Linked DNA regions of Arabidopsis thaliana. The protein of the gene in region 3 binds, or shares a complex with, the protein of the main gene of each other region. Each region holds a gene or a part of one and is shown on either strand. Other genes may lie near its edges.

What was found.
Region 1: ATU2AF65A (region 3) and SMU2 share a complex: the UniProt entries of both Arabidopsis thaliana proteins name them as parts of the spliceosome.
Region 2: ATU2AF65A (region 3) and SR34a share a complex: the UniProt entries of both Arabidopsis thaliana proteins name them as parts of the spliceosome.
Region 4: ATU2AF65A (region 3) and RS40 share a complex: the UniProt entries of both Arabidopsis thaliana proteins name them as parts of the spliceosome.

The regions. Positions count from the first base shown.
Region 1 is NC_003071.7:11,254,395-11,260,799, reverse strand, and holds SMU2 (RED family protein), read left to right. Parts: upstream 1-1,729; 5' UTR 1,730-1,886; coding exon 1,887-1,933; intron 1,934-2,024; coding exon 2,025-2,165; intron 2,166-2,260; coding exon 2,261-2,310; intron 2,311-2,387; coding exon 2,388-2,502; intron 2,503-2,577; coding exon 2,578-2,626; intron 2,627-2,727; coding exon 2,728-2,817; intron 2,818-3,366; coding exon 3,367-3,435; intron 3,436-3,842; coding exon 3,843-3,966; intron 3,967-4,447; coding exon 4,448-4,854; intron 4,855-4,997; coding exon 4,998-5,381; intron 5,382-5,469; coding exon 5,470-5,751; 3' UTR 5,752-5,868; downstream 5,869-6,405. Other genes in the region: AT2G26470 (embryonic stem cell-specific 5-hydroxymethylcytosine-binding protein), read left to right, coding at 310-419, 500-565, 717-1,484. UniProt on the Arabidopsis thaliana protein: Auxiliary spliceosomal protein involved in splicing of specific pre-mRNAs that affect multiple aspects of development.
Region 2 is NC_003074.8:18,329,606-18,335,675, reverse strand, and holds SR34a (SER/ARG-rich protein 34A), read right to left. Parts: upstream 4,168-6,070; 5' UTR 3,964-4,167; exon of another isoform or gene 3,035-3,963; 5' UTR 3,009-3,034; coding exon 2,922-3,008; intron 2,803-2,921; coding exon 2,737-2,802; intron 2,659-2,736; coding exon 2,584-2,658; intron 2,430-2,583; coding exon 2,288-2,429; intron 2,205-2,287; coding exon 2,158-2,204; intron 2,074-2,157; coding exon 2,016-2,073; intron 1,880-2,015; coding exon 1,830-1,879; intron 1,747-1,829; coding exon 1,690-1,746; intron 1,460-1,689; coding exon 1,308-1,459; intron 1,219-1,307; coding exon 1,138-1,218; coding exon of another isoform or gene 1,059-1,137; exon of another isoform or gene 1,027-1,058; coding exon 960-1,026; intron 868-959; coding exon 847-867; 3' UTR 522-846; downstream 1-521. Other genes in the region: AT3G49420 (Got1/Sft2-like vescicle transport protein family), read right to left, coding at 4,606-4,644, 4,904-4,985, 5,068-5,165, 5,286-5,366, 5,467-5,558, 5,791-5,821. UniProt on the Arabidopsis thaliana protein: Probably involved in intron recognition and spliceosome assembly.
Region 3 is NC_003075.7:17,293,441-17,299,694, forward strand, and holds ATU2AF65A (U2 snRNP auxilliary factor, large subunit, splicing factor), read right to left. Parts: upstream 4,289-6,254; 5' UTR 4,170-4,288; coding exon 4,056-4,169; intron 3,875-4,055; coding exon 3,588-3,874; intron 3,489-3,587; coding exon 3,390-3,488; intron 3,294-3,389; coding exon 3,220-3,293; intron 2,787-3,219; coding exon 2,710-2,786; intron 2,638-2,709; coding exon 2,590-2,637; intron 2,505-2,589; coding exon 2,445-2,504; intron 2,352-2,444; coding exon 2,291-2,351; intron 2,206-2,290; coding exon 2,093-2,205; intron 1,973-2,092; coding exon 1,526-1,972; intron 1,400-1,525; coding exon 1,264-1,399; coding exon of another isoform or gene 991-1,263; coding exon 923-990; intron 837-922; coding exon 699-836; 3' UTR 507-698; downstream 1-506. Other genes in the region: AT4G36680 (Tetratricopeptide repeat (TPR)-like superfamily protein), read right to left, coding at 1-277; AT4G36700 (RmlC-like cupins superfamily protein), read right to left, coding at 5,003-5,986, 6,143-6,223. UniProt on the Arabidopsis thaliana protein: Necessary for the splicing of pre-mRNA.
Region 4 is NC_003075.7:13,022,658-13,027,944, forward strand, and holds RS40 (arginine/serine-rich splicing factor 35), read left to right. Parts: upstream 1-1,840; 5' UTR 1,841-2,020; intron 2,021-2,107; exon of another isoform or gene 2,108-2,174; intron 2,175-2,297; exon of another isoform or gene 2,298-2,505; 5' UTR 2,506-2,510; coding exon 2,511-2,616; exon of another isoform or gene 2,617-3,192; coding exon of another isoform or gene 3,193-3,199; exon of another isoform or gene 3,200-3,355; coding exon of another isoform or gene 3,356-3,398; coding exon 3,399-3,511; intron 3,512-3,599; coding exon 3,600-3,841; intron 3,842-3,914; coding exon 3,915-4,472; intron 4,473-4,552; coding exon 4,553-4,586; 3' UTR 4,587-4,783; downstream 4,784-5,287. Other genes in the region: AT4G25510 (uncharacterized protein), read right to left, coding at 4,786-4,846, 4,991-5,287. UniProt on the Arabidopsis thaliana protein: Required for constitutive and alternative pre-mRNA splicing. Involved in primary miRNA processing and pri-miRNA biogenesis. Binds both intronless and intron-containing pri-miRNAs.

The DNA.
Region 1 (6,405 bases), on a different chromosome or scaffold from region 3:
GTTTAATCAAACCCGCACATTAATAAAGATACAAACTTATCATAGTAGTATGAGTTGTTTCTGTTTTCGTATTACATCTGATTTGATAAGCTCTTTTAGAAAAGATACATATGTAATTGCATGAGAATCTTTAACTTCTTTAAGTACTGGAATAGAACAAGCAGTGGCTGTTTAAGGTAGTTTAATATTGAGAGTAGCGTTTCTTATACAATGCTTACATTATTAGCGGCTGTTGATGATTGTTTTGTTGATTTGCAGCAGCCCTGAATTTTTGTGTTAACACGTGAGTTTGTTTATTTTTCATGTAAGACAGAATGCCTGTAATTCTTGGTGATAAGGATTCAATCGACACATGGTTAGATGATCCCTCGACAACGAAACTGCAGCCATTACTTTCACCATATGAAAAATCGGATTTGGTATGCAATTGCTTACTTCCTCGCATATAAGAGTGGTCTTTCCTTTTTCATTTACTTGAGATTGAAGTTTGAACTTTCAGGTATGGTATCCAGTAACCTCTGCAATTGGTAAACCAACGTTTGATGGACCAGAGTGTATTCAACAGGTACGGTTAACATCTTTCCCTTTCTTAGTAGTGTACAACTCAAATCTCAAGTTTGATCTCAAGTCGCATTAAACATATTGTCAGGATCACTATGTATTTGTACAGTCTGTATGCTTATTGTCATTTCAAATAAGGATTATGCCACCTGCAGATACCGCTAAAGACTTCACAAAATAGCTTGATCTCGAAGTTTTTCTCAACAAAGCAGCCCAAAACAGATGAAGGAGACAAAGAAACCAAATCAACAGATGCAAATATCATAGTTGATTTGAAAAAGGAACCTACGGCTGAAAAGGACACGTTTTCTGACAGCATTAAGAAAATTGAAGAACTAGACGGGGAGAAAGATATGTCGAATGTAGCCAAAAATCTGGAGTTTCAAGAGATTGTGAAAGCAGAACCATTTGTTGAAGATAACTCAGCAGTTGCGTCACTTCCTGAACCTGTAAAGAATGATGTTCAGGAGGGTACAAAGGAAGAAGGCAAATCCCTAAAGACTGGTCTTACTAAAGAAACAGGTGAGAGCAGTGCCAGTATACCGGCTGAGTCCTACATCCTTGATCTCCAAAGAATCTCAAAAGAAGAACCCGAGACTCAAAGCCATCATTTCTTTACTGCAGATGAGAGATTGAATCAGCTGCATGAGGCTGTCGAAGATATTCCAGGAAATGAAAACCAGAAGACAGTTTTAACTAGCCCGACGACGAAGGAAGGTGGCTTAGTGTTTAGCGAAAAGAGTGGGACAAAGCGAGACTATGAGGTATTCTCAGCTCAAGAAAAGCCACAGAAACACTATGAGAGGTTGCAAAATGTTAAAAGCAGTGGGAAACAAGGAAAGATGCATGGAATGGGGAAATCTAACATCAAGAAATCTAAGGAGACGCAGTCTACATTACATTTCTTTTTCGATGAGAAATAGTTTTGAGTCTACATAACATCTATGAGGACCATGTTGGCCTACTTTTGTTGTAGATAATGTTAGATAAGACCATCGTTTTGGGAATGTTGCTTGTATTGTATGTGTAGTGTTTGATCTTTGATCTAAGGTAATATTATTATGAATGAATTGGGTTTTTAATGTCCTTGGTGGATGGTAAAAATTTGTGAACCAGGTTTCGATAATCAAACCCGGTCGCTAAACGATTTTATCGGTTTAAATTAGATCCGGTTTCTAAATTAAACATCGAATTCTAATTTCCCCTGACCAGAACCACCAACGCTTTGAAATCGAAACAGACACAGATATCATCAGAACGAAGAACTTCAGCCAAAATCTGATTTTTCTCTGTTTCACGACAAGAAATCGAATTAACGAAATCTAATGAAACCTTCAAAATCGCATCACAAGGAGAAAACCGCTCGTCGGAGGTCAGAAATCTTCATTTTCCTCTCTCCCCTTTTCTTCAAAAGCTAGGGTTTTTACACAAAAACATCAAAACTCGTCACTTTTCCTTCACAGAGAGGAGAAACTAGAGGAATCCGATAATCCAAAATACAGAGATCGTGCTAAAGAAAGAAGAGAGAATCAAAATCCTGATTATGATCCATCAGAGCTTAGTTCTTTCCATGCCGTTGCTCCTCCCGGAGCTGTCGATATCCGGTAGCACTTGTCTTTCCTCGATTACTTCATTATCTTTCTAAATTCTAATTGGGTTTCTCTAAATTTCTGTTGCTGTGTACTTTTTTTTGTTGTAGTGCTGCTGATGCACTTAAGATATCTATTGAGAACAGCAAATATCTTGGAGGTTTGTGTTAGGTTTACAAATTTATTCAAAATGTTTTTTTTTTGAGGTGCTTATGTTGTTTTTATGATATGGTTTAGGTGATGTTGAACATACCCATTTAGTTAAGGGTTTGGATTATGCTTTGTTGAATAAAGTACGAAGCGAAATCGTTAAGAAACCTGATGGTGAAGATGGTGATGGTGGGAAGACTAGGTAGATTTGGTTATACTTGGTTTATTGACTCATTTGGCTTCTTTGATTCAAGTGCTAATTTTACTATATTAACAGTGCGCCTAAGGAAGATCAGCGAGTTACTTTCCGTACCATAGCTGCAAAGGTATGCAATTTTGTTCTGAACTTTGCAGATGAGGAGCAAGTTTTGGGATGTAGTTAACGCGCTTGATGTTTTTTGTTTCTCTTGTCTTTGATCTGTTTCAGTCAGTTTACCAGTGGATTGTTAAGCCTCAGACTATCATCAAGTCTAATGAGATGTTTCTTCCCGGTAGAATGACATTTGTCTATGATATGGTATTGCTTGTTAACTCTTTTTCAGGAAGATTCAATCTTATTACATGTTCTTATGTCGTTGTTTGTCTTAGGAAGTAGTCATACATGTGTATTCTGCTTCAACGATTCTTCTTCGAGTATTAGTTAATATTTAGTTAAATCTTCGCTTCTAGTTTAAATACATGTCTCAGGAAAATTTTAAGAAGGTAGCTTAAGCTGTTTTGCATTACCTTGTTAGCGATTTATTCACGATTTAATCTATTTGTTAGAAACCTTATACGCAGAATTGGTTGTAAAGGTTTTTTAGTTCGATTAACGTGTCTGCTCTTCTTGAAGAAGCATATTCTTTTTCTCTTGCAGATAGAGACACCATACGACAAGAAAAGTCAGTTGAATATACTATTGATATTTGGTAGTGTTACGTATGAAGTTTCCTTTGAGATACTTAGTCTCAGCTAAGCTGCTAGGCTAAGCTTATAGTATGGGTTTAGTCTGCCCTTTGAAAGCCTCCCTGTTGATGTATATTAATTTTATTCCCTTTTGTTTTTAATTCTATTTGTTGCTTTTCAGGAAGGTGGCTATACCCATGACATACCGACCACGTTATATAGGAGTAAAGCTGACTGCCCGGTGCCCGAGGTATGTATACTTAGAGTCCTTGTTGTAATAGTCTTCTTGATCCTGGAAAAATCTTTAGACTGTAAGCAGTGATGTGACATGATCGTTTTGATTCTAATGAAAATAAGCCCACTCTGCCTGTCTCTGCAACCTATTTTCTTTTACAGTGTTGATGTATTCAATACAGCTAATATCGATTATATAAGTCATTAGTTTTGGTAGAAGCATAGATTTTCTTTAAGTAATTATAAAAATCTTTTTAAACTAAATTCAACTTTCTTTCTACTAATCTGGAACCAAAATTAACGTTGCTTAATATGTTTGTTTACTGAACATAATAAAAATTTATAATTGAAATCACTGCTGCAATTTTTGCGAGAATTGTTTCATTTAACAGGCACTGTTTCTCTGTCCTATCTCCCCAACAGGAATTTGTCACAGTCAATGTTGATGGTTCTGTGCTAGATCGAATTGCTAAAATCATGTCATATCTTCGCCTTGGGTCGTCGGGGAAAGTTCTCAAGAAGAAAAAGAAAGAAAAAGATGGGAAAGGTATTTTGCATCTACTGGTGCATTTTTTTGTAAAGTTTAAGTATTAGCAGACCTGATTCACTTACACTGGTTAAATAAGTTCTCTGCTTTTCCCGAAATTTGTTAATTATCTGGTCTTACAGTTTGGAGCCAAGAATGTAAAGAGTGTACCTAGTCTTTGACCACAGTACTAGTAGTATCTACTGATGTCTGGTTGTGTTCTCGCTTATCAATTGTGAAGAAATTTAGTTGTATCATAAATATGTTGCTGCCGTCCCTTGATGGTTCTGTAAACTCTGTTGTTAGTAATTTTTATTATGCTAATGTGGTGCCAGTACATGTTGTAGTTCTTGTTTCACATCAGCATACAATTGGATACAAGTTGGCTGGTTTCTGATTCTTTAGCAAGATAATTTGCTAATTTCTATTCTATCATACGTTCATGCATTTTTTATATTATTTTGCCTTATTAATCACATCCACTGCAACTTTTCAAATGCAGGAAAGATGTCAACTATTGCTAATGATTATGATGAAGACGACAATAAATCTAAGATTGAGAATGGATCTTCTGTGAACATAAGTGACAGGGAAGTTTTACCTCCTCCTCCGCCATTACCACCTGGGATAAACCATCTGGATTTGAGTACGAAACAAGAAGAACCCCCTGTTGCCAGGACAGACGATGATGACATATTTGTTGGTGAAGGCGTCGATTACACGGTTCCTGGTAAAGATGTGACACAGAGTCCTATTTCTGAGGACATGGAAGAATCTCCCAGGGATAAGGAGAAAGTATCTTATTTCGATGAGCCTGCTTATGGTCCAGTGCAGGAGAAGGTACCTTATTTCGCTGAGCCTGCTTATGGTCCAGTGCAGCCATCTGCTGGTCAGGAATGGCAAGATATGGTCAGTTCACCCTAGCTAATCCTTGGTTGTATTTATTCTCAAATCTTGATCCTCGTCTGCAAATTTTGCGTCTTGGTATGTAGTTATTAGATGTCATTTATTCCCATATTTAGGTTTTTTCTGGTGGTTGTGTGTTTTTCCAGAGTGCATATGGTGCAATGCAAACTCAAGGACTGGCTCCTGGGTACCCCGGAGAGTGGCAGGAATACCAATATGCAGAGCAAACTGGGTATCAGGAGCAGTACCTTCAACCTGGAATGGAGGGTTACGAGGTCCAACCAGAAACCGATGTTTTACTAGATCCTCAACTCATGTCGCAGGAAGAGAAAGATAGGGGTTTGGGATCGGTTTTCAAGCGTGATGACCAAAGGCTTCAACAGTTGAGGGAGAGTGACGCAAGGGAGAAAGATCCAACTTTTGTATCCGAGAGTTATTCAGAGTGTTATCCAGGTTACCAAGAGTACAACCATGAGATTGTCGGTAGTGATGAAGAACCTGATTTGTCTAAAATGGACATGGGTGGAAAGGTATGCCCTGACTTAATTACATGTTCCTTGTTATTTATTGTGGAAGAGCAAAATTACAGTATCTGGTTGTTGAATGTACATGGAACAGGCAAAGGGTGGTTTACATCGATGGGACTTTGAGACAGAAGAGGAATGGGAAAAATATAATGAGCAGAAGGAAGCGATGCCAAAAGCGGCGTTCCAATTCGGGGTAAAGATGCAAGATGGTCGAAAGACAAGGAAGCAGAACCGTGACCGTGACCAGAAGCTCAATAATGAACTTCACCAGATCAATAAGATACTTACGAGAAAGAAGATGGAGAAGGAGGGTGGGGATGTTGCTTCTTTGGATGCCGCCGAGGCACAAACTCCTAAGAGATCCAAGCATTGATTTGTCTCTTGTCTACTCCAGTCATTCTCTCGTAATCTATTTTGTATCTTCAAGTCTGTTTAGGTTTTTGGTACCTTGAGTTCAAATTCTTAATTTAGAAAAGATTTTACGTCCAAATTTTGAAATGATAGCATTCTTATTTCCTAATTACCCATTAAACACGAAGCAGTTTTGGGAGTTGGGACAGCCTTAGGTTTTAGGTTTAGCATCACCAAAAATGAGACGCTTCAGTAACCAACCCAACAAGACAAGCAAAAAACTAGAAAAATCATAAAACCCTAATCAGAAAAATGGCCACAGATTCCATGAATGCAGCCACCGTCAATGACTCCGACCGTTTCATCTTCTCCACACCTCTCTCCGCTCGTGGTTCAACCAAACGTGACGCCATCTCCGTCGAGGATCTTGGCCAATACACTCTTCTCAAACTCCATTCAAATCCGGTTTCACAAACTACATAGATCTTGGCCAATACAACGACGAAGATGACGATGTAAGAATCCTCTGTTTCACACCAATCTCCATAGAAAAGGGACAGTCCTCTGTTTGACCAATACAACGACGAAGACGCTCTTTCGACTGCGAGATATGTGTTGAACGAAAACCAAGGATTGAATCTTTTCGAATCAATGGCTGTTCTCACACTTATTGCAA
Region 2 (6,070 bases), on a different chromosome or scaffold from region 3:
TTTAGTCAGATTTCTTTAAGCAATTATAGCCCTATTTTTCAAAAATTATACAAAAGGCCCAAATCTATACATATAGTATAAGAGATAAACTTTTTTTTTAAATGGGTACATGATCCCACTTTTCTCTTAGCCGGTCCGGGCTACATAAGAATTTATAACATCTTGTTTCGTTTCTAAGTTGGGGACCTTATATATATGGCCACTATTTATCCAAAAATACGTATTAAGATAGATATATTTTCTCTTCTGATATTTCTTGTAAAGATACATATTAGCTAAAAGTTTGTACAAAAATGTTTTAACATTATACCTAAGATGTTGAAGTTGTATCCCTACTTATGCAAGGAAATGCGCACTTCATCCTAATTCTCAACTTTTGTTTGTGATGGAATACTAAAAGATGCCGACAAACAGATCATGTCAAATATATAAATTTTGTCGACTTTGTGGAAGAACCTTGTTAGGTAAACAACTCATTTGACCGTCTATAAACCATGTCAAATATCTTAACTTTAATTTGATTTCTTTAATATTATGCCCATTTCATACAAATCAGTTAAATATTTGATAATTTAGATGAGAGATCCAGGTTCGCTAAGACTTCATAGGGTTTAAACAAGAACAGGACTAACAATACAAAACTCAGAGGTATTGTGATGGTCACGGAAACATCCATAACATAACAGGTCATAATAGTATAAAGATGATCATTTGTGAGTAAAGAAGCAGAGAACAGCAGAAAATGTCAATTATCCGAAAACAGCAAAAAAAAAAACACAGAGAATGGATCTTGACTTGAGAATTTTTCGCACTCTTTCTTTTGGCCATTTTCACCGCTTAACAAAATCACACACTGCCTTCGCGAACCTGAGAAAAAGATTTTTTTAGATTGGTCTGTTTGGTGTTTTGCCTATAACTTGGTAAAATGATGCTAAAACGCAGGCAGCTTAGTTCTATACCTTGGGAGGAGATTTGGACGGAGACCTCGATCTGGACCTGGACCTGGACTTTGATCTCGACATTGCCCTGAATTGGTAAAAAGCAACATGTCACAATAATCACAGGAGAAATAAAAGAACGAATAAAAGTATCATGATGGTTGAGAGAAAGAACACAAAAGAAGGGCAGAAGACTTGCCTGGGGGGACTCTTCTTCTTGTCGGGCGATGGCGATCTAGATTTTGAAATCGATCTGGAAAGGGATCGCCTTGGTGATTTACTGCAATAAAGATTGGTAAACACACAACTCCATTTTTAGGTATTGAAAATGGGAGATATACAAAGGTTCAGTGATAACAAACGTAGTACCTCAGATCCTTCCTTGGGCTCTTGCTCCTGCTAAGGCTGCGACTGCGGCTATGGCTGCGACCACGGCCTCGGCTACGACTTCGACTTCTGCTTCTGCTTCTGCTTCTGCTTGGGCTTCTGCTTCTTGATCGGGAGCTTTCATATTTCTTAACCTGCATATGAGCAGAAAACACAGACATAAGATGAATACAAACTTGTGAGATCATGATTTTAAATTAGCCTAACCAATTGAGACTACAAAAGTCATAGATGTTTTACGAATGGGAAGATAGAGAATGAAGCATCAAACGAAGTAAAATGTTGAGAGACTTGAGAGATAACTAATATCTGTTAATTATGGTCAAAGAGGGAAAAAAGAAGAGACTGCATAGAGAAATGGTACCCGGATAAAACCTCTAGCCCAGGGGTTTCTGAACTCTGTGTCATCAAGTTTCCTTATCTGAAATCACAACTATTGAACATCAGTAATTATACAAACCATAGCATGCAATACAGTAAGAGAGACGCACAGAGTTCACTTACTGCATACTTCATGTCATCATAATTGGTGTAGTCGACAACACCATAAGTTCCTGATCATATTATTATAAATAGTCATGTTGTGGGAGAAAAACGTAAGTATAATATCCCAAACAAAACTCTGCTCAAAGCTGAAAAAGTAAATATATTGCTAAGTAAGTATGCATCAGAAACTGTAAATTAACGTACCATCACTGTCTCGAGTCACCTCAGCAAAGCACACATCACCAGCTTTCCGCATATGATCCTGAAAAAAATGGATTTTATATGAAAAACAAGACTAGGGAGTAGAAACCAAAATGTTGCAGCAAAACATTAAGTGTCATCAGACCTTCAAATCTTGCCATGAAGCAGATGATGGGAGCCCACGTACAATAACTGCAAAATAGCCATCCAAGAATCAGAAGAAGTGAAGTGAAACCAAATTTTAATAATACCAACTTCTAGCAAGAAACACAAACCTCGGAATTCAGAGTGTCGTGAGACGCCAAACCGAGCTGATCCACCACCACCACCTCCACCACCATAGCCGCTGCCACCACCACCGTAGCCACCACGACGATCACTTGAAGACTGTCCTCGACCACCATGTGCAAGCTCAACCTGCATTCATAATGATTAGAAACTATTGAAAAATAAAAAGAAACATCACAAGGTAATGTAAAACAGCCAGAAAAGTTTAGACTCTGCTGTAAGGATATGTGAAGCATAAGCCCATATTGTCTGCTGAAAAAATAGCAAGGAAGTAACTGATTACCCTCAAGCGACAGCCATCCAAATTATAGCCATCACGGCCCTTGATGGCATCTTCAGCATCCCGAGAATGCTCAAACTACAAACATTCAACAGAGCTTGGTTCAGCGAAATTTAAAGTTGGTTAGGAACATGTAATGTAAGCGAATACACTTACCTCAACAAAGCAATAACATGGAGGCCGAGGTGGAACCTTCAATTCAATATCGACAATGCGGCCATACTGCAAACAAGAGCATTAAATATGAATACAAAAGATGCTCAAGAATCTTCACTGTCTTATAGGGATAACGATTCAAGAGAGGACCCGTAACTGAATCAAACAAATAACCAAAAACTGACCTTGTAAAAGATATCTTCAATCTCATGTTCCCTAATGTCACCGGGCAAGTTACCAACATAGATTGACCGAGAAAATCGCCCACTCATTGTTTGCAAAGGTTAAAAAGGGGAAACTGCACATGAGAATAAAAAGGAAACGAAATAAATAAAGGATCAAAATTTACTGCTATAGACAAAGAACCTCCACTCAAACAGCTTTCGACATAGCCCCAGCATCAAAATGAGACGATGATAAGAAAAGAAAAAGAAAACATGGTAAGACCAAAATATATATGAAGCAAACCAAGTGAGAGCAATCCTGGGTCAGAGCAGTGCTCCACAAGCTCCAAATGCTTATTTGCTCCAATATGCTCCAAAAGCTATTTAAAATATTGAAATATATATATTTCTCCAGATCGTTCCCATGAATCTCCATTAATAATAAAAACAATATCCACATTGATCTCCCCAATCCCTCTCTATATCCCTATGAACCATTGCAATGCTCATGTTCCAAGCTCTTGCCATCTATCATAAAGAAAGCATGTGTCATGACATCATGTAACATAGACTCATGCATCTACCTTGTTCTTCTTCCTTACTCAAACCATTATTCCTTTCAAACATACAACAAAAATTCTACTTTTAACGACTATTTAAAATACAGATCGACCCACAAATCATCGTTACATAGAACCTCTTGGTAAATTATGTTTCTTTTCAATGCAAGTAAAAAAATTTCCTCAGTAAGGACAATGAATAAAAGACAGATTCTAACAAACATAAGACCTTCTGAATTTAATCAAAAATCACCTTAAACAACTCAAGAACATTCGACATAAAAAAGCTAATTGAAGTCAAGGAAACTACCCCCACGACCATAGCGAAGTATATTCACCTCAAGAGAGCCAAAAGACCAACAATTATCAGTGAAATTAACGAAATTGAAACACCAAACCATCGAATTCATAAGAACACGGAAACCAAATTCAGAGAAAACAACAGATAGATAGAGATAGAGAGAGGGAGAGCGATAGAGAGAGAGAGGTGAATGAATCCGTACCGGGGGAAACGCTACAGCGCCGGAGAAGATTTGGTCTGAAGCCAACAATACTCGGAGGAGAGCTTAGTAGATGAGAGAGAGAGGTCGGCCGTGAAAATTCAAACTAGGGTTTCTACTTTATCCATTAGTAGGGGTCGTCCTTAAAACTTTCCTGAAATACCGGAATTACCCTTTAGTTGATTCACTCAGTTCTTTTGTGTTTTTATTTTTCGGTCCCTCTTTAAGTAATCTGTTTGTCAAATAACCTCTAAGTTTTTGTTTTTGGTCAAATAGAACCATTAAGTTAATAACAATATGATTAAAATTATGTAATGCGTAATGGTTACAAAAAGTTTTTGTGAATAGAAACAATTGTTTCTCTTTAATTAGTTTCCAAAATTGAGGTGTAACCTATAACTAACCCAAAAATAAAACATTACATTTTTAACATTCTGTTGCAATTTGCAACCTGGACGAAGATTCATCTACTTCACCTGAAACATAGACACACAGCTTCAAATTGTACGTTCTTTTCCTTCCTATTTTCTTTCTCCTATGGTTTTAGTTTTCTACAGGATCACGAAACTTCTTCTTCCAAAAACTTTAATCGCCTGTTCAGCTGCATCTAGCTCAGTGAATCGTCTCTCTGCTCGGGATGGAAGACTAGACCGGCACTCGCTTGCCCCGGTACTTGTCAAAGAACTACACATCACATAAAAAAAAAGTGTAAAGTAATCGCATTAGCCAACAATTGGCAGACTATGCAACAGAATTACTATTAAAGTTAAGCCAAACTGAGAAAAGGCCTAGCAACTCAAGATCATCAGAAACAAAGAGAGAATTATCAACTGTAATTTGGAAAGGCAAAACTGGGAGTCATTATGAGTTTTGTATGTGTTGTATTCGAGATCTAAGAATTTCATGCAAAGTTTGCTATAGTTGTTTGCAATTGGACACATACCGATCTAATATATGGTTGCTGAATAATCCAACCCAGAACGGGTATCTTCTGAGCAAAGACTGCCAAGGTAGGCCAGAAGCCACTGCAAAAGCAAAACGTTTTTAGTATCAGTTTACATTTCCTCAAGCAATACCAGTAAAGAAGAAGAAAATAGGCAAAAGTACCTGAAGAGTACGAAAAAGCCATAGGTCTCCAACATCATTCCCAAGATAGGCCACCCGATGATAACAAAGAAGAAACCGACGCCAAAAGAGATGGTTCCCTGAGTGGATAACATATAAAGCCAAATGAACACACATAGATGACATTAAGTAGAAATCTGTAAAAATCCAGCAGAGACTGGCCCAAGCTATTGATAATGTAGACAAAGACAGAAACAAACCTTATAATTTTGACGCTTCATGAAGAACTGCATGGTAGACTTGAAGCCAATGGTTAGACTAACCCCCGAGATGAAAAGAATCTGAGAAAATATGAAAAGAAACAAGCTCTCATACTAGTTCTGTACGTGTATGCAATAATAGTGGTCAAAGTATAGAAACAAAGATACATGAGATACTTACATTTCCCATGGCAAGTAATCCCTTATCAAAGACGAAGACTATTCCCAAAAACGAGAAGAATACGCCAAATCCTGTCAGGCCTAACCCGATTTCTGTTTCAAATCACATAAGAAACGTTTAAGTATATCCAAGTACAGCATGAGTAACTTCGTAACCTGGTAATAAGATATACTGAAACTAAATGGGGTTCCGAACAACAACATGACATTGAATGATCTACTAACTCAAGAACGTGATAAGCAAAAGAAGAATTAAGTATAACTAAGTAACAGGTATGTCTTCCAATAGCAGAAAATATTTATAGAACTCACAATGTGAACTTACTTTTCCGGTCATTCATTTCAAAGGACATCATTGTTCCTGTAATCAGCTACTTCTACCTTTTGCTGCCATGGTAAAAACATGTCGAAGTTCAGCAATTAGACCATTGAAAGTTGAAACTACAACATTAGTGTTTACAAAATGTGCCCATGGCTTAGCCATGACTCTGATATACATACATAGCCCATAGAGATTCAATATTCTCGTATCAGTTTTGGTAACCAATCAATATTTGGAAACATAATATCGATTTGACGTCGACTAGACAGATGCTACATACAGA
Region 3 (6,254 bases):
GGGATTCAATTAGGGTTTCGATGTCTGAGAAACGGCGACACTTGGCGAGGCGACGAACAGTGAGCTCTTGGGCGTAGCGAGATGAAACAGGAGAGGCTGAGTGATCGGAGACATTGGCGTAGATCTTAAGAGCTTTGTCGGGATCGTGTTCTTTCCGGAGAGTGGACTTAGCTTTGGAGACAGAGATTTTGCCTGAAGAGGGAGCGGTGGTCGTACCGTCAGCGGCGGCTGAGGCAAATCGGCGAACAAGGCGGAGAGAAATACGAGAAGAAGCCATTTTGCAGAAATGGGTATTGTGGAGAGTGGTGGCGAGAAAAGGAGACGCCTTTAGGGTTTTAGTGGCTTAACAGAGATTTTTGGGTTTTACAAGTTTGCTTCTTTTTCTTTCTTTTTTCTTCTATCAGAAGAGAACCAAACTACTTGAATATTTCAATAGAGAGAGTACTCAACTTCTTGTGTTGATTTAGAACATATGTCACATTTACGAGAGACGAATGATGTTTTACGAGGGACTCATGATGTTATTCTGTGAATAATTTTTGAGATAAATATTTAAGAAATAGACCAAAGATATGAGATAAAAACGTTATAATAAGCAACGTGTCGATAATCTCATACTCTTACAATCACGCAAAAGGGTCTTGAAACTGAAGCAAAGTACTTAACTTTTAAGTAATAGAAAGCAAACAAAGAAGTGATCAGGCTCCATAATCACCCTGTTCAAACTTGTCTTCAGGGTAATACACTGCAACGACTTCATTTCCTCCAAATTTCCTACCATTCATCCCGAATCTTGCCCTAGTCGAGCCATCTGTATCGGCATACTTCAAAAACACCTGCACATTAAATATATCAGACAGTCAGATTACGACTAAATAGAAATATACAAGAAGTAGAGAGAAAGAGAGAGAGATAAGTTTACCTTGCCAAGGCCTGCCACTGGCTCACCATTGGGGCTTGGACGCGGAATCACAACATTGGTCAAAGCACCTGCATTTTAAGAGTTAAAGAACAAAACATTTCGAATACAAGACAAGAAAACACAGACAAAAACAAGTCAGTTTTTTCTTTTAAGAAATAGTGGCCATTGGTGATAAATAGATTAGGAGGTTTATGCAGTCTCCTGTCTGTGTATGTTAGGGCTGATTCTTTATAGCAAAAGGCTGTAAAACAGCACAACCAAGAAAACAGAGAGACAGATCAATATGCTTTTAATCTTATATTTCAAAATAGACCATATTGCGCAATTAAGAGGTCTCTTACCAAACTTTCCGCCTTCCTGTCTCATGTCTTCCATTATATCTCCATACTCCTCATCATCTCTAAGCTCATCCTCAGTAACAACTTGAGTCAGACACACCACAGTGGTTGCCACTGCACCAGGCTGTAACATAACCCTCTGCAAAAGATAAAACCATCAATCAGTCTTTTAATCTTATAAATGGAAATATTCAAGTTAGGTCTCAACACGTTTTGCAAGCTCATTTTGTTTTCTTCCAATATTATTAAGAAGAAAAAAAATTACCTGAAAAGCTATTTGCTGCTGTGCATGCAATAATACGTTCTCTTGTTCAGGCTTTTGTAGCATTGTTCCCTGGTTGGCACGTCTCACTGTAAGAGTCTTATCTCCCATCTTGATACCATTTAGGGCAGCGCACGCGATATCTGTAACAGAAAGATCTTGGTACACACAAAAGGCATATCCTTTAGAGTTCCCTGTTTCTCGATCTTTTACAAGATCAAAGCCCTTGAGGCCTCCAAAGGACTCCAACAACTCCCTCACTTGTGATTCCGTGAAGTAATATGGAAGTCCACCAACAAAAATACGATCTGGTCCCTCAAGCCCACCAGAAGCACCTGGAGTCAGACCAACAGCAGCTAAGTTTAGATGGGGACTGGGCTGGCTTGGACCAAGAGTCGCAGCTAGAGATGGGTTATAGTCACTAGGTCTCCTCACCTTCACCGGAGCTCCCTGGAAAAGAAAAAAAGAAAAAGAAAGATAAGCATTCAGTTGGGTAACCTATATACCAAAGAAATGCCAGTACTAAAACTCAACCAAATATTTGGTAGTGCGGTAAACATTAAAACATACCTCAAATATAATCCCATCCAAAGACATAGCGTTACTTGCCTCTTCAACAGATCGCATCTCCACAAAAGCAAACTTCTTCTCGTGGTTTATGTAGACATTAACAACTGCATCACCTGCGAGTAAGAAAAAAGATTTATAAAAAAAGATTAATCCAAGTATCATAATAGACACTCTAGCATCTGCACCAGGATTATGTACCTGGACCAGCAGTGTTTCCACCAACAGCAGCCATAACTTGACTAAAAAATGTAGCCACAGACTGCAAATACAAAATAATAAATCAATGTTAGTATCATTATTTGCTGAAACATATTTCAGTGGGAGAAAATGAAAAAAGAAAGTGGATAATAACCTGTTCATTTGCCGTAGGGGAAAGCCCACCGACATAGACTCTGCGAGCATGTCTAGTTGCCTGAAGACACAAAGTAAATAAGGATTAAATTAGAACAGAGAAATACATAGTATCTTGCGTATATCCATGATAAATAAAATCTAACCTGCTGTGTCATAGCCTGAATTGGCATCATAGAGAGTCCCCCAAATGACTGTAGGACATAGACGACTTAGTTCAAGAAAGACATCAATTAAGAAAATATTAAAAGGGAAAGACCACAGACCTGTCCAGTCGGCAATGGAAACATGTTGGGAAACATTCCAGCCCCAGGAAGAGTTGGTGGAGCGGGAGGAACTTGGCCTACAAAAGAAAAACAGGTTAATACATAAGAAAATTACATATGAGAAAACCTAGTTTACCATCCCTGGAAATGTATTGGTGACATCAAGAGGTTTAAGTCTGCATGGAAAATTTTTGCAAGACTAACAAAACCAGTGATATGTACTGAGGATGAGCAATACCCATACGCAGTAATTCTTCCTTGTATATAAGAGCTAACCAGCCCACACCCAGTGTTGCCTTACCAAAACAGAAAAGCAAACAAGAGACACAAAGACCACCAAACAACCAAAAGCTCTCAGTTCTAGCGTTATGTCCCAAGTAAAAAAAGAAAGAAAACAGCCTATGTTTTTGTAGTTATTCAGGAGAAACAGATTTTATCAATCCCAGTACGTGTATTAGGTATGAATTCTACATTATGCTAATGAGAAGGTGCTAAATTAAAGAGATATACCTGTAACAGCAGCACCAGCAGCTAACATTGCAGAGGCTGGAGGTGCCATATCGAATCCACTGACTCGCTGCTTACTGCAACAACATATATTGAGTGAGGTTAGAAACTTTCTTAGATTGAAGCAATTACTTCATAGAAGAGTAAGTAATCCAATGAGAAAAAAATGCTACCTTTTCGATGGAGATCGTGACCTTGTTCTGCGCTCAGATCTATCCTTTGAACGAGATCGAGATCGACGACTGCGTCTTCCTCCTCTATCATCTCTCCGCCTAGAAGAATAAAAAATAAGCCAAATCAGTACCTTCCATAAAATCAAAAAGGATTCAATCTAAATTGAAAATGTATAATTCAATTCAAGAACAGTCTACCTATCATGGTCACGATCACGGCTTCGACGGTAATCATCATCATCCCTACCACCACGTTCTCTTCTTTCACCACGCTCCCTGCTATGATCCCTGTGACGACTACTTCTGTGATGACGCTCACGATGATCTCTGTCTTTGTCTCTACTCCTCTCCTTGCTTTTCTCTCCATCTCTATCCCTGCTTCGGCGAGAGACTTCAGAGTCTCTTTCTCTGTCCTTATCACGACCCTTCTCTCTTTCTCTATCTTTACTTCTTGATGTCTCTCTTTCATGGTCACGCGATTCTCTCTGCACATGTAAACACACCCAAAACCTCATCAATTACAGTTTAAGAATCAATGAAACAGAAGCAGCTTTAAAACTAATCATCTCATAATTCGATTCTCAATTCAATCCAATTGCTAGGAAATATAGATTCGAAACTCCAACTATAAGCTAGGAGATTGAAGATAATCAGGGGGGAAATTACCTTGGGTTTCGAGTCCAATTGATCCTCGATTTCGCCGTCGCGGCCACCATTCTCTTCGTCGTAAATCGCGTCAGCAACCGTACCGTTTCCCTCGTGATCTTCGAATTCAGACATCTTTTCGCCGGAATCAACGCTCTCTATCTCTTTCTCACCGGAGATAAATTTAGAATCTGTTTCAGCCGTCGAGATTCGAAGAAAGGGGTGGATGCAGAAACCAAACTATTTTAGGGCAATTACGGATTATTCTATTTTTTTATAGCCAACACGGGACCTCCTGTGAGGGTATTTTTGTAAATGTCATATAAAAACAGGCCGGTCCAAATCTGATAAGGCCCATTATTCAGCGCATCCGGTCCAATAGTTGGCCCAATTCGTGTTTGGGATAAATCTACTTTTTGAGAGTTTTATGAATTTGCCTTTTCAAGATATGGCCCAATCTGTGTTTGAGATAAATTTGCCTTTTATTCCAATATCTCTTGCAACAACAAGAGAACAGAGCATGGGAAGTTGATTGCATTATCTACGACTCCTCCGTTATCACCATTCAAAACTTTAATATGCCGAAGCTATAGCAAGAGGGTTACAAATACATTATACAATTGTAAACCAAATGACATAAGTTAGCAAGTACGACTACTACTACAAGTGTATAATAAACCACAGAGTTATCAATAACAAGAAGTAACGTCGTCACTCAACAGTCTCTCGGAAATATTTACTTATTTCTCATTTACCATCTACAAAGATTTAAACAAAACAAAACATTATACAAACACAATACAACTTTAAACATGGCAACAACAAAAACAATGCAAAAGTACATTAACAAATAAACAAGACTATGGAAAAAAAAAGTTACAAGAGAGGTCAGAACCAAAGTTCTAACCACTAACAACAAACCAAACACACTCTTGACGTACGTTGGCCTTCTCTTTTACTCCTCCGGCTTAACTCTCCTCTTCACCTTCCATTTCCCATTCTTTCTCCATCGGTAGTTGCCGTTCCCTAAGTTCTTCTTCTTGTGGTGGTTGTTGAGGTGGCCACCGCTTCTTCTCTTCTTCTTCTTCACGTTTCCTCCTCTCTTCCTCTTCTCTCTTCGCCTCTTCTTCTTCTTTCTTCCTTTCATCATGTCTCCTCTTCCTCTCATCATCTATTTTCTTCCTCTCTATCTCCACCTTAAGCTTCTCTATCTCTCCTTCCGCACAAGAATGACATTCCAAGATAACAGCTTCCTTCTGAGCTCCCAACAATCCATCAATCGTCACACTACTCACATTAAGCGATGCAGCCAATACTTGCCGGTCAAGCATCCGCAAAGCCGAGTCCTCCCCGGCTAAGAACTGCGGCTCGTTATTCTTAGCTGAAGTAGTAAACCCAACGAACACTAACGAGTCATTGTTGAAAGACATTTGAGCCATTGGATGTAACCGTGGAACTGCGAAAATATCTCCTTCCTCTACTTTAAACCTCACGTTCTTACACTCTGATGATGTGTTTGATGATATCGAAGACCTAAGAACCCTAACCATTCCTGCTCCTTTCAATACAATCGAAATCTCGCAAGCCCATGGATTCCAGTGCGGTCCCATCATCGATCCTTGAGTGAGATTCACCATGGAAACTCCAACCATTGAGCCTTTTAAAACTTTCAGATCCTTCCTGTTAATCGTTATAGTACGACCGTAGGGGCTCTCGAAATCCGGTTCAGATTCGAAAACATTGAATGTCTTCGCTTTCTTCACCTTCTCCTTCTTCTCTTTCTTCTCTTTCTTCTTCTTGTTATCCACCAAGTCTGCACTTCCAGCAAAGAGCTTTAGTAATCGCGGTTGGAGCTGCCAAGTGTTGGCCACACCTGGTGTGCAAAGCGTCTCACTCACGATCAATGGTGGCTTCGTACGGTTCCTCATCAGCTCTATAATCCCCTCAGGAACCTAATTAAAACCATTGAATTTAATATATCACTTAATACAACCCAAAATATCCTCTACTAGAGTAAGTTGGGAAGTAAGATATACACAATTCCTATCTTGCTTCCCAAGTAAGATATAGACAATTCGTAACTTATTCATCGGCAGATTAAGACATACCCCAAAAGCTGACTGGAGAATTGTCTCATCAAAACCAAACATTAGATCTGTGATACTCGAATAGGCACCAAAGCAAGGATCCTGCATCCATGGAATACAGATACAATAAGAA
Region 4 (5,287 bases), 4.3 Mb from region 3:
ATCTGTCTTGGTAAAGCTATTTATATCTCTCTCTCTTTTTTTTCTTTTCAGGTAGATTCTTTTTCAAGTGTGTAGTTAGTATAAAAAGTGAGAGTGAGAATTGGTGTTTATATTGGCCGGAGGAGAGATAACGGATATGTGGGGAGCACACGGAGTTTTTGTCTCTGTGAATGACACGTGTATAGTACATAGCGAAGCAATCCCACGATGTTCCACTCGCTGTCTGACGTGTGTCCTTTGACCCTTGTAAAGAGACTTTTGACTCTTCACTCGTTAACCTTTATGAGTTCTTTAAATTCTATCGAGTGTGTGCCTGTGTGGTTGGCTGGCTGCTGTTGTTACAATCGTTTTTAAATTCCTATGAATAAACAAATTGTCATTAATTGTCACCCGTCTATAACATAATAGACATAAATATCTCTGTGAAATGATATTTTAAATACTCATGTAGTATTTGTATTGGAAGTAGATGTCCTAATATTTAACCAAAAATAATACTACAATATAGAAAAGCTTGATTTTTTAAAAAAATTAATCAGATTTGGTAATGGATAATTATCAATTTCGATGGACGGTTAAAAATGAGTCATAAATGCATATGATGAACAAAATTATTCAGTTTAAACAAACTATAACCAAAAACATGTAAATGGACCAGGACAGGACTAAGCGAAGGATTAGACCAATACAAAATAGCAAGTTATCTTGAATCCCAATAATTCCCACAAAATATCTCAATCTCAATAATAGCTATATTGTATTGACAAAAAAAAGGTATAAAAAATCTTCACAATAAGATATGCATGAAATATATTCGCTGACAAAAATATCTCTCTCGTTACCTCTCGCTCTCACGTTATTGACATTTAGGAGAAAAGAAGACACAACAAAGAGGGAAAAAAAGAGTGGTAAGGTGAAGAAAACAACAAAATTGGCTTTAGTGGAAAATAGAAAGTAAAGCTTGAGAGTGACGTATGGGGCCAGTGAAGGCTGGTGGGGAAGGTAGGGACAGTGTTTCCGCGGCCGAACCACGGGTTTAGAGGATTTTGACGTCCCCACGCATTATCTTGTGGAACCCATCTTTCTGTTTTTGGAAAATCGTACGGACGTTCGTTTTTGAATTATTTGCTGAATCGGGTTGTTTGGGTTTCTACTCTGTTTTGGGATTCTTCAGTGGATTGGACTGGATCTTTTGTAGCTTTTTGTTGGTAGATTTGAGACGCCTCTATTTTATGAATATCTTAATAGCTTTTTGTTGCATATTCAAGCGAGATAAGAAGATAATTGAGGCTTTATGGCATATTTGAAAAGTCGAAACTCGTTCTCATTCCACGTGTGATGATATGTTCGTGGCCACATATCATTCGGCCTTGAAAGCAACTACTAAACTCTTAACATAAGTGAAGCAATCCAATGAAGAGGAAAACAATTTATTTAATTAATTGTAATATATAAATATACACATTTCTTTATAACAACAATTATTAAACTTACTAACAAACTCATATGTTTCATCGAATCCAAAACTTGACATGTGGGATCTTGAGAGTGTTAAGTTGCAAGACTTTTTAAAAACTTGTATGCATTATTCATTGTGTAGATGTTATGTGATACATGTTCTAGTTCTATTAATCAGTATATTCTAATCAAAATTAAAAAATCTAATATTTGTTTGTCTTCATAATCTGTTATTGTTTTGTTTTTTTAGAAAGCAGCTTCAATTTTGTTTACTTGTTGGGCTTCTTATAATTTGTTTAACATATAGGCCCAATACTCCTAAAAAGTAGACGTTCTCGACTTCTCGTCCTTCAGACAAAATAAGAAAGTCAAAATGTGTTCTGAAAAAAATATCTTTGAAACTAAAAAGAAAAGAAAATAAAATAAAAATCCAAATGATCTCTCTTGCCTTCTTTATCTAAATCGTACCTAACTCTGTTTTCAGTTTCACCTATCTCTCGACGCGAGCTTCTTCTTCTTCTAGGGCTTCCACGCGACTACGCCTGCCAAAATCATTCTACAGGTAAATTGATGCAGTTTATTCACTCTCTATATCGTCGTGGTTCTCATCTCCTTCTTCCTTCTTTTTTTTTTGGTTGGTGAAAAGTAGAACAAGAGAATTGGTCCATCTCGTTTTTTATAAGTTGAATCTCATCAGAGCCTTCTTTGTTTTTCTGGTATGAAAGATTCATGCTTTCGTGGATTGTTCTCGTTTTCTCTATCTTGTGAATGATATTCAGATCTAACTGTAGTTAGATTAGATCTGTTGCATTGTACTTTTGATTCTAATACTGTCTAGTTCAGTTCCTAGATTTAACTGATTTGGAGCTCGAATAGATGAGTTTCAAGTCCTAATTTACTGCAAAACAATTCGATTTAGTGTGAGGGCTCTAGTTTTTAGTGTTAAAAGTTTTCATCTTGGTGACAAATTAGTTGTGATATTCGTGTTTAAATTATCATTTAAGGAAGTCTCATGAATCTTTTTTACTATTGTGGTTGTCTATACAGGAAGCATGAAGCCAGTCTTCTGTGGGAACTTTGAGTATGATGCGCGCGAAGGTGACCTGGAACGACTATTCAGGAAATACGGCAAGGTTGAGAGGGTTGATATGAAAGCTGGTGAGCCTTTTTTTTCTTTCTTTCTTTCTTCTGCCTCTTACTACTCTGTCTTTGTGGTTAACCTGAATGAATTATAATAAGCAGTATTGTTATCCACTAAGTACAATGAAAAAGCGAAATTCAAATGCATTTCATGAAATCCACTCTCGTCTTCATTCCATCCACGAGAAGGCTCTGGTGGACTATCTCCCTTTGGAAGGAGTACTAAACATTGACCACATTCACCTGGCCACCTGATGCAGCCTGCTTGAACTTTGGAAAGTACTTCAGAGGAATAAGATTTTTAGAAAAAAAATTAGTGTAAAACCGCATTTTCTTTGACGCAGGATGTGTTTGATAATCTTGGGACGCCTATACTCACACCTGGCCATGAATGGACCATAGGGAAATCCATCTCTTATCCCTCAAAATCAGTCACTTTCCATCCGCATTAGCACTGCCATCTTAATTGCATTTCATTCCTCATCACTTTGCACACTTGGACATGCCTCTGCAATGGAGAAGGCTCTCTATTTTCATTCATATCCCCGTCTGACTTCCACATTTTCAGTTGTTCCTTGACATATTAATTCCATAATGCAAGGTCTGTAACTGCTTCACTGGTCATTTGGAGTTTTTTTAAGGTTCTAGGAATGTTCAAAATTTAATATGTTCTAGGAGTTAAGTTAGGCGTTGAAGGAGGGAGGACAGTGTTCGTGTATGTTGAAGGTTCTTAATCTGGTCCACTTCCTCACTGTTAATGTACTCAGATCTTTGCTTTTGGCTTTTTCTTTTTTCTCCAGGGTTTGCTTTTGTATACATGGAAGATGAAAGGGATGCGGAAGATGCCATCCGAGCACTTGACCGCTTTGAATTTGGGCGTAAGGGACGCAGACTTCGTGTTGAATGGACAAAGGTAGGATACTTACCCCAGGATTTATTTCTTTCCAGACTTAGTTATGAGGTTTGAAATACTGATAACATAAATGGTTCTGTGTATATAGAGTGAACGTGGAGGTGATAAAAGATCTGGTGGTGGTTCAAGGAGATCCTCATCCAGCATGAGACCTTCCAAGACTCTCTTTGTGATTAACTTTGATGCGGATAATACTAGGACCCGGGATCTAGAGAAACACTTTGAGCCGTATGGAAAGATCGTAAACGTTAGGATCAGGAGGAATTTTGCATTTATCCAGTACGAGGCACAAGAGGATGCCACCAGAGCATTGGATGCTTCAAATAACAGGTTTGTTCTGTCCATTTTAGTATCTAATCACTTTCCTTTCTTAGACTCACGTTTCATCTGTGTTTTCATTCAGTAAGCTGATGGATAAGGTGATCTCGGTGGAGTATGCTGTGAAGGATGATGATGCTAGAGGAAATGGACACAGTCCTGAAAGACGCCGTGATAGGTCACCTGAAAGGAGAAGGCGATCACCTAGTCCTTACAAAAGAGAAAGAGGAAGCCCTGATTATGGCCGAGGAGCTAGTCCTGTTGCTGCCTACAGAAAGGAAAGGACCAGTCCTGACTATGGTCGAAGACGTAGCCCAAGTCCTTACAAGAAATCAAGACGTGGCAGTCCCGAGTATGGTCGTGACCGCAGAGGCAATGATAGCCCTCGCAGGAGGGAGAGAGTCGCAAGCCCTACTAAGTACAGCCGCAGTCCCAACAACAAGAGAGAGAGGATGAGCCCTAATCACAGCCCGTTCAAGAAGGAGAGTCCGAGAAATGGGGTTGGTGAAGTTGAAAGTCCCATTGAAAGGAGAGAGAGATCGAGGTCTAGCCCCGAGAATGGCCAAGTTGAAAGCCCTGGGTCAATAGGAAGAAGAGACAGTGATGGTGGGTATGATGGTGCAGAGAGCCCAATGCAGAAGAGGTTAGATTCTGAAATAGGTCGATACTTGTTTATATATTATTGATGACATGAATCGTAAACCATTTCTCTTGTTGTTGCAGCCGGTCTCCTCGTTCGCCACCAGCTGACGAGTGATAAGAGTGGATCCACAATCTCTATCAAAGTAGGATGTTGTAACTGTTTGTAGTCAACAACGCTATGTCGTCGTGATTAGTTTTTGTCGTTTGGTTTTTGATAGATTCGAACTCGGATCACTTTTATTGTCGGATTGAAAAACTTATGTCAAGTTACTACATTTCCGTTTTTTTTTATCACCTCTCAGTTTGAACCCCAATCATGTAATGCTTTCCCGTGACAATAAGATGCGAACCTCAAAACATCTTGCATCGAAACACCTTGAGAGTGACAAAATCGAACGCATCGTTAAGTAACTTAAATGGTACGCCGAAATTATGGAAGGCAAGAACGGTTCTATTGACTTAATTGGGTCTAAAAACTACTCTAAACGCCTCTTGTCAACGTTCGAACTAGTCCCTAACCTTTGACTCAAATATAAATATTGGCTACAAATAGACTTATAGTTCTGCCTACATTGGTCGTCTGCTTTAGTATATTTGTTACCAAGTAAAATGCTGCTGTAGAGTTTAATGATCTCTTTGTCTACTGGGTTTCTCCAATTTTCTGATCGTTGGGATTCGTGCAAGTCGAGAGAGTCTACTTGGTTGAAACTTTCTGGGTTTTGATTTGAGTTGCCCATTGGATTTGAAGTTTTAGTCTTTTGTTGGTAAGTTTTACCCTTTGAGATATGCTCGTCTGATAGTATAGGGCTTTCGAGT